3 linked regions of the Cricetulus griseus genome follow. The protein of the gene in region 3 interacts with the protein of the main gene of each other region in a pairwise test. Links are inferred from orthologs where the notes say so. Each region holds a gene or a part of one and is shown on either strand. Other genes may lie near its edges.

The links.
Region 1: the proteins of Rbpms (region 3) and Tollip interact in binary tests that used the Homo sapiens proteins (3 or more experiments, as listed by UniProt). The two-hybrid records come from large-scale screens. The link is inferred for Cricetulus griseus from reciprocal best matches to the Homo sapiens genes RBPMS and TOLLIP.
Region 2: the proteins of Rbpms (region 3) and Dvl2 interact in a two-hybrid assay, tested with the Homo sapiens proteins (2 studies listed by BioGRID and IntAct). The two-hybrid records come from large-scale screens. The link is inferred for Cricetulus griseus from reciprocal best matches to the Homo sapiens genes RBPMS and DVL2.

What each region holds. Positions count from the first base shown.
Region 1 is NC_048596.1:59,283,578-59,287,582, forward strand, and holds the start of Tollip (toll-interacting protein), read left to right. Parts: upstream 1-1,205; 5' UTR 1,206-1,332; coding exon 1,333-1,365; intron 1,366-4,005. UniProt on the Homo sapiens protein: Component of the signaling pathway of IL-1 and Toll-like receptors. Inhibits cell activation by microbial products. Recruits IRAK1 to the IL-1 receptor complex. Inhibits IRAK1 phosphorylation and kinase activity.
Region 2 is NC_048600.1:83,846,839-83,850,810, reverse strand, and holds the start of Dvl2 (segment polarity protein dishevelled homolog DVL-2), read right to left. Parts: upstream 2,801-3,972; coding exon 2,607-2,800; intron 1-2,606.
Region 3 is NW_023276807.1:51,013,785-51,016,480, reverse strand, and holds the end of Rbpms (RNA-binding protein with multiple splicing), read right to left. Parts: intron 752-2,696; coding exon 620-751; 3' UTR 501-619; downstream 1-500.

The DNA.
Region 1 (4,005 bases), on a different chromosome or scaffold from region 3:
ATATTGAGGGATTTGGGAATCCATTAAAGGGCATATGTGTGAACATCTCAAACCCAATCATTTTTAGCAGGTCTTAGTCACAAGAAGTTCCTAGTCTGCTGTCCAGATACAATCTTACACAACTTGCAGGATGCCCGGTGCATTTTTAGACACAATTCAGAGGTTTTGTCTATAACCAAGGGGAAAGGATTGTATAGGGATGTGAACCCCAGGAAGGGATCATGGGTCTCTTATAAATTGTCTGCCATATTGGGTGTCGAGTCTTATGTCCTGGTCTGCCTTAGCTTCATCAGCTGCAGACCAGTGAGAACTGGATAGACAGCTGCATCCAGGGACAGAGCCCAGATGCAGTCCCATGTGCTATCAAGGCAGAGACTGGTAATGGAGGTAGAAGATGAGGTCTTAGAGATGAAGGGAACACAATAGAACACAGTGTGAGTGAAGAAATGTACTAGGAGTACATTTGGTGCTGGGCAGTACCAAGTCTACTGCAGCACAAGCGAAAGAGATCTGCAGATCTGGGGCCACCACAGGATAAACTTAAAGGAACTACATTGAGTCTATCTGGCCAAAGGTCCTTCTGAAGAGAGCGCTCTGAAGAGGCAAGAGTGGGTGGCCTGGGTTTCCTAGGGACATCTCTTCCATTCATTTGGCAAATTCAAGGCTGGTGGAAGTGTTCCAGCCCACTCTTGCCTCTCCTTCAGCTTGGCTTCTTTTTTTAACATTTAAATATAAATGTTCTTCCTCCCACAGCATTTTGAAGTAATTCAAGGGCTTGAGGGTAACTGGTTTTACTGCCATCTGCTTTCTCCTCAAGCTGCCAAACATCAGTTTTCTCCTTTCTTCAAGCGGATCAGGCACCTTGCAGGTGGTGGTCTCCTAGCTATCTCCAGCCAGGTGACTGGACGTTGTGACGACTTGACGGAGTTGAGATAAACATCCATGTTTCGGGTGCCTGGTCCTGGGTCAACAGACTGGCTCACGCCGAGAAACACTCAGGTTTAGGCATGCGCAGACAGCCTGGCAGCCATTTTAAGGGCTTACCGTACTACAGGAGTGACCACCGCGCAGGCGTACACGGGAGACTTAACCCGCCCTCACCCCAGCCCTTTGCACGCATGCGCGGATTAGCCGGAAGGGGCGGGATTAGCCATTGCGAAGCGGCTGCGCCTTGGGAATGCCGGGGTGGGGCGGGGCGGGGTGACTGTCAGCTGACTGAGGCGCAGATTGCCTCGCGGGACAACGGTCGGCGACGCAGGTTGAGGTGGGGGCGGAAGAACTCTCCCGGCGGGTCTCTGTGCGGTCGGTGAGGCACAGGGTCGCCGTAACATCATGGCGACCACCGTCAGCACGCAGCGCGGGCCGGTGAGTCCACTGGGCGAGGGCCGGACTGGGGCAACGCAGCCTGAGATCGGGCTCCTCTTGTCAGCCCCTCGTGGGGCCCCTCGCGAGTTGCTCGGCCGTCCCGGAGCTGTGCGGGTCCCACCTTCGGGTACCCAAACGGAGTAGCGACTCTGGTCCTGAGGGTCTCGCGGGTGGAAGAAGGCAGAGCTTGATGGTTCTTTGGATGCCCACGGGCCCTGAAACCCCTGAATCCCTAGAGGGGCCCTGAATCCCTTAGTCCTCCACACAGAGGAACGTGACCCCATTGGTTCCCCATACTGAGAGGGACCCCGACTCCCCTTAGTTCCCCGGGTGGAAAAAGGGTCCCGAACCCCTTACTTCCCCAGATGTATACCAACCCCTTGGTCTCTCAGATGGACATGGGCCCTGACGCTTGGTTCCCCAAATGGAGAGTGGTCCTGACCCTGTTAATTTCCCAAACTGATAGTCTTGGCTCCCATGATCTCTCAGAGGAGTGGGGCCTGACACTCCTCTGATGTTTCAGAGATGGTGAAAGATCCCACTTTGTAATCAGCTCTTAGTTGTGTCAGTTTCTTCCTCTCCCTGCTCCTATAGAGAACAGGGTTGCTACCTCTTGAGCCCGGTTAGTGGCTACCTTTCCAAGTCTCAGTTGTTCATCTATAAATGAGGAGAAGGGAGCAGAAAACGTGGAAAACCAACAGTGATGGCTCCTAAGGGTTGTCTTGGGGTCCACAACACTACCTGTCTCTCCTACCTCTAGTGTGGATGTCCTCCCAGTAGTTCTCTGAGACTGATATGAGTTGGATGTTGTTAGCTAACAGTGGTTATGTGTGTAGAACACAGTTCTGATGGCTCCATTGTCTTTTCCCTGAAGTTATTGAAAGTGTCTGCAAAGCCTTTGGTTTCCCAGGTCCCTCACCCTGACAGCTTGGTGTTGACAGGTGTGTGTGTGTGTGTGTGTGTGTGTGTGTGTGTGTGTGTGTGTGTGTAACAGATAAATCATTGGGGTAGATGACTGATTTTCTGACTTTGAAGAAAGCCCCAGGCAGGGTGCTTTTTTGGAGGGCTTTAAAGCCAGACTTCCTGACCAGAGTTGGGGTTACCTTCATGTTCAGCAACCCTTCTTCATCCTCACTGTGTCTCACCAAACTACAGAAGATTGCTAGTGGCTGACAGAAGAGGAAGGGAGCCAGTACTTTGCTCTTTTCCTATCTCCTGCCAAGTGGACACAGGGCCAGGCAGAGTGGACCGTTCCTTACTGTGTGTCTGAGAGTGCCTTTACTTCTGTGGCTGGACTGCATTTGAATTCATCTGATGGTGAGCTTAATGTCCGTCATTAATTGAGTAAGAAGGTGTCCTCCCGTGTTGCTGAGGGAAACTCTGGTGCTGTGTGTATAGAGCTGGGGTAACCCACGCTGTGATGAGTAATTGGGAGTGTCGGGTGACATTCATACTAGCGCAATCTGTGGAGTCAAGTCCTGACGCTTGATCTTTCTACTTGCCCAGTGTTCTAGGGACCACAGAGTCTTATAAATAAACATAGACAGCTGAATGGTTTTTTAGGAGCACTCTTGATGACTTGTAATATTGTGTCTGGACTCTAAGAAATTGTCATCAGTGACAGATATCTTAGACTTTGCTTGGGATGTATTATTGGCCACAGTATTTAGAGCAATTGGACACTGAGTCAAAAGTGTGGAGCACAGGGACACAGCTATGCATGGTGACCCATATAAAGCCAGAAAATAACAGTCACCATCAGGTCTGTGCTCTTAATCATTGAAAACAGAAAGGTATGGACTTGGTGTGGGAGGAGTGAATGGGTTATGGCCAGGGTCTCTTAAAGACTAGAAGATCTTGAACTTGATCTGGTAAGTGCTGTTTCTTAGAGTGCATGCCTTTTACAGTTTTCAGCTTTTCACTGGCTGCTTCACCTAGAATGATCTACCTATATGCCTCTGGATTCATTAATATTTGCAAAGGTTTTTTTAGCCAGTTGTCAGGGTCTAGTAGAACTGTCAAGAGTGTGGTAGTTCTTCCCTACTATTCATGTCATACTCAGGGTTGTGGAGCTGTAAAGATAAACAGAAGTACACATTTGGTCAGTACTGGGTACTATTGGCAGCCTTCTTTTTGTAACCGCAGCAGGGGGTTAGGCTATGGTTCAGAGTCCCCTTCCCAGGAGCCTGGACTAGGCTTGGGCAGTTGTCTCTATAGCTGACCTTCACCTCTGATGAGTGGGGAAGGACTGACAGTGTCTTGGGAGGCTATAGAAGGCTGAGGACACTCTCATCTGGGCTAGGAGGGTTCTCTATTCTTGGTTGAGGGTTTGGGATGGGGCAAGTATGAGGAGGAGAGCCAGAACCCACATAATTGTGAAGGAATAAGTTTTTCCCTGGGACATTTGGTATTTTACGTTTTTTTTTTGTGTTTTGTTTTTTTTGTTTTGTTTTGTTTTGTTTTGTTTAATAGCCACTATAGGGCACTACAATCTTTCATAGCCATCTCACTTTTGAAAATACTGGTATTTTGAAATTACCCCTTTTGCTACCCAGTCTGCACACCTGCTCCTTTCCTACAGTAGTGGTTTTTTTTTTTTTTTTTTTTTTGCGGGGGGTGGGGTGGGGGGGTGGGGGGGTC
Region 2 (3,972 bases), on a different chromosome or scaffold from region 3:
CTTCAATGTGACAGTAACACTCCACACCAGGAAAGCGCCCACTGAGAGGGGATGAGAGGCTTCCCGTTTCCTGGCTGCCTCATCTCACTAAGCAATCTGCTCAGCCTGAAACATCCTGAAGCCCAGCCTTGGTGGCCAGCCTCCCACAGGCTCCCGCCTCGGATTAAACTTGTTCCTTCTCAATACCCACAAGAAATCATTAGCACCTACTCTGTTCAACATGTGTCCTGGGTGTGCAGCACCAGCCTTGATACTTAGTAAGCATTAGCAAATACATGGTGACAAAATATGAGCCATGAGGCTTACTTTCACATACACAACACCCTCACCTTCAAATTAGAACTTCTTGTCTGGGGGCTGGCTTAGTGAGAGTTGGCTTGTGGTTAAGAGCATTTATCGCTCTTCCAAAAGGCCCCAGGTTTAGTTTCCAGCACCCACATAGTGGCTCACAACCATCTGTAACTCCAGTTCTGGGCTCTGTCTCTTCTAATGTTCACAGGCACCAGGCATGCACATGATATACATACATGCAGACAAAACACTCATATACATAAAAATAATGAAAAAATTAAAATAAAACCTCTTGATTGATTAACACTAGCCTAATATGCTCTGGGGGCCTTGGGTATATGCCACATTTTGAAGGTATATTCCTCATATATTAGCTGCCAAGACAACATAGCCCAGTCACCAGGGGTCTGCTCAGTGTATACAACTCTTCCCAACATAACCCAACCTCATCAAACCCAGCGTGGCCCAGTCTCCTCCAAAGCAGGCAATTTTGTATCACTATAATCTAGTCTATGAACTAGTTAGCCTCAATACTAAATGAAAATTACCAGCCACCAAGATTTACCATGTGCTTGCACCTAAATTAAGTATTTTACACTATGATTATCATCATGCCACAGATGAAGAAATCAAAGCACAAAAGTTAAATAGATTGCCTAAAATTATAATGCAAAAAGAAGAACCAAGATTCAAATCCAAGACAACCCCCTAGATAGTATCACTCTGCCCATGTCGAAAAATCTTCAGTGAGAGTCCAGTTTGTTCAGTTCTAGCTAATGGGGAATGTGCTCCAACCACAGGTAAGGAGCCTTGCTCCAACCCAGGTGGTAGATAACCTTTTTCTCCCCAGTACCCTGCTATCCTTGCTTATGCCAACTCAGAACATCAGAATCCAATGCACTCTATCTTCAGACCTTGAGCCTGAGGACACACAAGACTCGGTCTCAATAGCTACAAAACAAAAGGCTGCCTTACTCAAGAGTTCTACTCCAGCCCAGGATCACCCAGAATGTCCCAAATTACCCCAGAACAACCCCCATCTAATCTAGCAAAGCCCCAGTGCCTCCACACAAGCAGCTGTCTGCACCAGTACTGATTGCAATACCCCAATACAATATGCACGGACTCCACCAGCCTATTCCTATCTTGTAACACAGTAAACCCAGGTCTGGGCCAGGTATAGTGTCACACACCTCTAGCCTCAGCATGAAGGATGCAGACATAGAGGCAGGGCTGCTACAAATTCAAGGTGAGTCTGTTCTACATTGTGAGCTCTAGGTAGCTTTAGTTACAGGATGAAATCCTGGCTCAGCAGTTAAGAGCACTGGCTGCTCTTCCAAAGGACTGGAGTGCAATTCCCAGCACCTAAATAGAGGATAACATATACATAACTCCAGTTCCAAGCGATCCCAAGCCATCTTCTGGTTTCTGAGGCATTGCATGCTTGTAGTGCACAAATATGCACGCATGCAAAACACCCATACACATAAAATATCTTTAAAATAAACAAACAAACCTCCAATTTCCCCCGTAGGGGGAGGGGAATCTACTCCTAAGAGAAAATAAAAAGAACCCAGTAGAGTTCAGAAGGTTGCAAACTTTGCCAGAAAAAAATCTATTCAAAACAGTCCAACCTATCCCCGACAGACCTCTCTGCATTATTTCAGATCTCAAAATAATACTATGGGACCTAATTAATAAGCCAGGATAGCCTAAATTGTCTAAGTATAGCTCAATCTACATAATGACACTGCATGCCCAGCATATTGGCTCACACCTGTTAACTCCAGCTCTCAAGGCTGAAAGCAGGAACTCCATGAGTTCGGAGCCAGCCTAGGATACAAAGAGTAAGGCCTGTCTCAAAACAAAAGACCAAATCAAAACCAGCAAACAAACAAACAAACAAAATAACCCTACAGAATATTCCTATACAATCCTTGTGAAGACGTCTGAGAACATACCAGACAACCAAAAGATAGTTGAATCTAATCTCAGCACAGCCTAAAATATCCTCAAGCATCGCCTCTTAGCCTTGTGGCTAAAATCAAGTAGAGAGAATGGCCAAACAAACCAGTGTGCCCCATTATTCCAACCTAATTTTCTTGCCTCTGGTTTACTGAAGTCCAGCCCGTTCTTCCCAAGCTCTGTGTGTCCAACCTTGTCCGTCTTGGGATGGGCGATCTACTCTAGCATAGTACAATATGCTATGTTCTACAACAGGCCAGAAAAATTCCAAGGCAGTCCAGTCCCCCTCAAAATCGCCCAATCCATTCCAGCACATCCATCGTCCTTCCCAGTCTAGGCCTCACGCTTACCCAAAATCCTGATCCATAGACTTGAAAAAGTACTTAGCGCCCGCGGGCCGCTGCAAAACGCTCTTGAAATCGCCGAGGGTGATGCGCTCCGCCGGGACAGGAATCTTCACCAGGTAGGGAGTCTCTTCCTCATCCAGATGGTAAATCACCTTCGTCTCGCCTACACCACCGCCCCCCGCGCTGCTGCCCGCCATGGTCTCGCTCGCGCGCTCCCGGGCTCAGCCGCCCACCCAACAGGACTAAGCGCCCCCGCCGCGCCTGCGCACACCCGCAAATTGACGTGCTAGCGCCGACAGGGCAGGGCCAGTGCGGGAGACGCGCCCAAGGAGGACGGCGTGGAGCAGCAGGGTGATAGCTTAGAGCCGTGGAGCGAGACCCAGAACCCTGGACCCCACAGCCGAGGTCCAACACCACCACCTACGTCGCGAACAGTATCGAGGTCCCCGCCCACCTCTCCCCATGCCACGTGACACAAGCCCGCCCACTTTGCGCAGCCGACTGCCCTCACGTGATCCGCTCGTGTCACGTGACTGCGAAGCTCCGCCTAGACACTCACGTGATCGCTGCCTTGAGCAACGGTCTTCAGCCCTAGAAGACTCCGCCCCCAAACGTGTACCCCGCCCCACACCAAGTACTATGGCCAACCCCGTTGACTCTTAGAATGCTGGCAACTGGCTCCCACTGTTTTACCCATCCCAGGCCCAGAGCTCAAAGCACCTCAGGTGCAACTATGGGGGTGTGGGAGGGTACTGGTAAATCGAGAACTGCAAACCAACTTGGACCTCTAGGACGACTTCTGGTTTGAGAACGCTGAAAACTAGACCTTTCAAGATTTGACTTTTGAGTGAGAGAGGGTGATGGGGGATTCAGTGTCTCATGTAGTGGAAGCCAGCCTTAGCCCCTAAATTGTCTCCACCTCCCAAATTGTGGGATTATATCTCTGGATCATAAGAGTCGGTTTCAGCCCTAATTACATCGAGACATCTGCCAGGTCCCCTCCCCAAATAGGACAACGAGGATTGTAAAACACAAGAGCCCACTCTGCTTTATTTACAACACGCTGGCTGTCTGTACAAGCAGCCAGCCAATATTATTAAAAATGAGGCTAGTGATAATTGACACCTTTTTGCTTTTCTCCCCCACTCCACCAGCTATGGTACTCCGCCTTTGAGCAACCACTTTGCTCAAACATGGGAGCCCAAAATTAAAAACAACCGGTGTAGAAGAAAGCAAATGGGAGTGAGAGAGAAGAAAACATGAGGGAGTGCTGTATTTACACTACAATTTTATAGACAACTATCCCATTACATCCCAGTTTGAGCCCTGGCCCTGAAAGTCAAAGGGTGGTAGGTTGACTGGACAGAGA
Region 3 (2,696 bases):
CAGGTGTATGCCACCATTAATTAGATCAAAAGCAATGGGATTTGATGGTACATAAGTACCATTAAACCAGAGAGAGAATTGTAGCTCATGACTAGATAGAACCGAACTAGAAATGGGATCCAACTCAATAACGGAGGTCCCATTTTGGGGGTCTTCCCTTCCTTGGGAACAGAGCAGGCACACAGCAGTATGTGTCCCCTAGCTAGATCTGGCAGCCTTGTTGGTGCTGATGCAAGAACTTCTGGTAGCCGATGACCTGTTGGCACGAGGATCTTCTAACATGAAGCTCAGGGTGGTTTCGGAGCTCGAGAAGATGGCAGCGGCATCGATGAAGCCCTGGAGCTGGGCGCAGTCTTCTAGGGTGCTCTTTCAGAATCTGCTCCCGTGAAACATGCAACTTAGCTTCTACGGGCCAGGTACTCACAAACTCAGCCAGAGATTAAATACTTTTGCTCCAAAATTGTAGCACCATGAAAACAAACTCTGTAGTCTACTTGAGATCATTTTCCCTCTGATTGAAATTTTTATTGAAATCTCTCAAATATCATCAAGAAATAGTTTTTTGTTTTTTTGATTTTTTTTGTTTTTTGCAAAAGGGGGGTGGGGGTTGCTAACAATTTCAACATGGGAGCTCCCTCTGCTGGTCTGCAGTAGGCTGATATGTGACAAACACATTCCCAGAGACAAATCTAATTTGCTGGAGAAGAGGACAAAAGACAGGTGTGTTGGGCTTTGCCTCTGGAGAGAAACACTAGAAGAAAAAAAAAAAAATCCATGTCTCAAAACAAAGCACAACATTGCAAAAAATAAAAAATAAAAAAAAGCAAAATCAGAAGAATCTCCAAGACACTCAGTTTCCAAAACAAAACCCCAGGCACCTAGGAAGGGGCCCCCACTCTGCTCCCCTCTAGTCAGTATTCTCGGAAGCCATCTTGGCCTCCAAGGCTCTCCTGACAGATTTCCCATTTACTTAGAAAAGAAAGTTCCAAGAAATCGCTGGAGCAAGGCCTCTCCAAAATTCCATCAAGAGTAAAAGAATTAGGTGAGCTGGCGCCTTGCTGTTTTAGCAAGGGAAGCAGGTGACAGACCTGCTCTAGAACTCTAGAACCACTGTGACTTGGGACAACTCTCCATCTCCTCAGGCCCTGTTCCCTGTCTGTGTAACGGGCTGGATCAGTTGTCTGCAAAGCTACCAGTTCACTCCAACATGGACAAATACATTTATTAAGAATGTTCATTTAAATGACTCTACAGAAGTGAGACTCGACATGGATCTCACCACCAGCAGATCGGAGTTCCACCAAAGGTAGGGCTGATGGCTGAGTTAGGAGGACTGCAGGCTGGGGAAGTCTCAAGAGAAGGGGGTCGTGTGGGTGATGTATGCCAACGAGGCACACGCCGTGATGCATCTAATCTTGCACTGGGTCTCCATCCCTCCTCACAGGGGCGTAGGCTTTCTAAATCTCCCAAGACCCTTGTTAGAGAGCCTTTACCCTCCATATCCTGCAAATAATTCCAGATGTCATGTCACATCATGACCAAAGCCAGTCTTCCCAGGTCTTTCTGGGCATTAGCAAGCCTTGATTCTCCAGGCAGCAGTGAATGGCTCTGTTGCCCGATGTGCAACCTTGCACTGTTTCATGGTGTGTACTGCTAATAACCCCAACAGTTGGTTGCTCTGTTCCTGAACCCTAAGCAAGAAGGGCATACCTGCACACGAAGTGTGGGGCACACAAAATGGGGACTTTATGGACCTTTGTTGTCAACAAAGTTATCCACAGCACAAAACCACTAACGACTCAGCTAAAGACAGCCACCACCTAGCTGCTCCTGCCTGCTACCTGGCAGTCACCAGGGTTACTGAACACTGACCCATGTAGAGACACCGGGCAGAGGGTGGAAAAGCAAAAGGCACACCTGATCCTTGACTTCAGTTTGTTTCTTGAACCAAGGCAAGTCACTGCCACCTCTGCACTTTTCCTAACTCCCCACACTGCTTTGTACCCCCTCCCTGAAGAGGACAGACAATATCTGTTCCCGGGCACAAGACAATGGGGTTCCCTTTGAACTCTGTCTGCCTGAAGCAGATGATGCCCCAGGGAGAACAAACAGCTAAGGAAACCAGTTGCCAATGCAGGCAAAAAGCACTGGAGTCTCAGATAAAGAAAGGTTGGCCTGCAGTACTCTTGACACAGTGGATTGGGAACACTCTCTGGGGCTGCTCCCAGGCCTCTTAATCAGGACATGAAGGGGTATCATCCAGCCTTGGAAACAAAGACCATGCAAAATAAACACCCCCCCACACCTGACCAGTCTGACAATTTACAAAGATTTATAGTATTTGTTTAGTTTGGGTGTCTGCACGAGTACTGGTGTGGAGGGCAGGGGACAACTGGCAGAAGGCAGCTCTCTCTTCTACCTGTGGGTCCTGGGGATTGAACTCAAGCTGTCAGGCTTGGCGGCAAGTGCCTTTGCCCAATGGGCCATCCTACCAGTCCACAGCCAGCAATTTTTAAGAGGCCAGGTTGAGTGGCATATGTAGTAAGACAGATAGAACCTATATTTTACTTGTCAATGGCCAGCAATAATTGTCATGGGCTGACTACATGAGTGGTTATGCCAAGGGTGAAGCTCGGGTCTCATTATTATCCTCAGCTCTCAAAAGAACCATGGCTTCCAGGGAGAGGAAGAGCTGG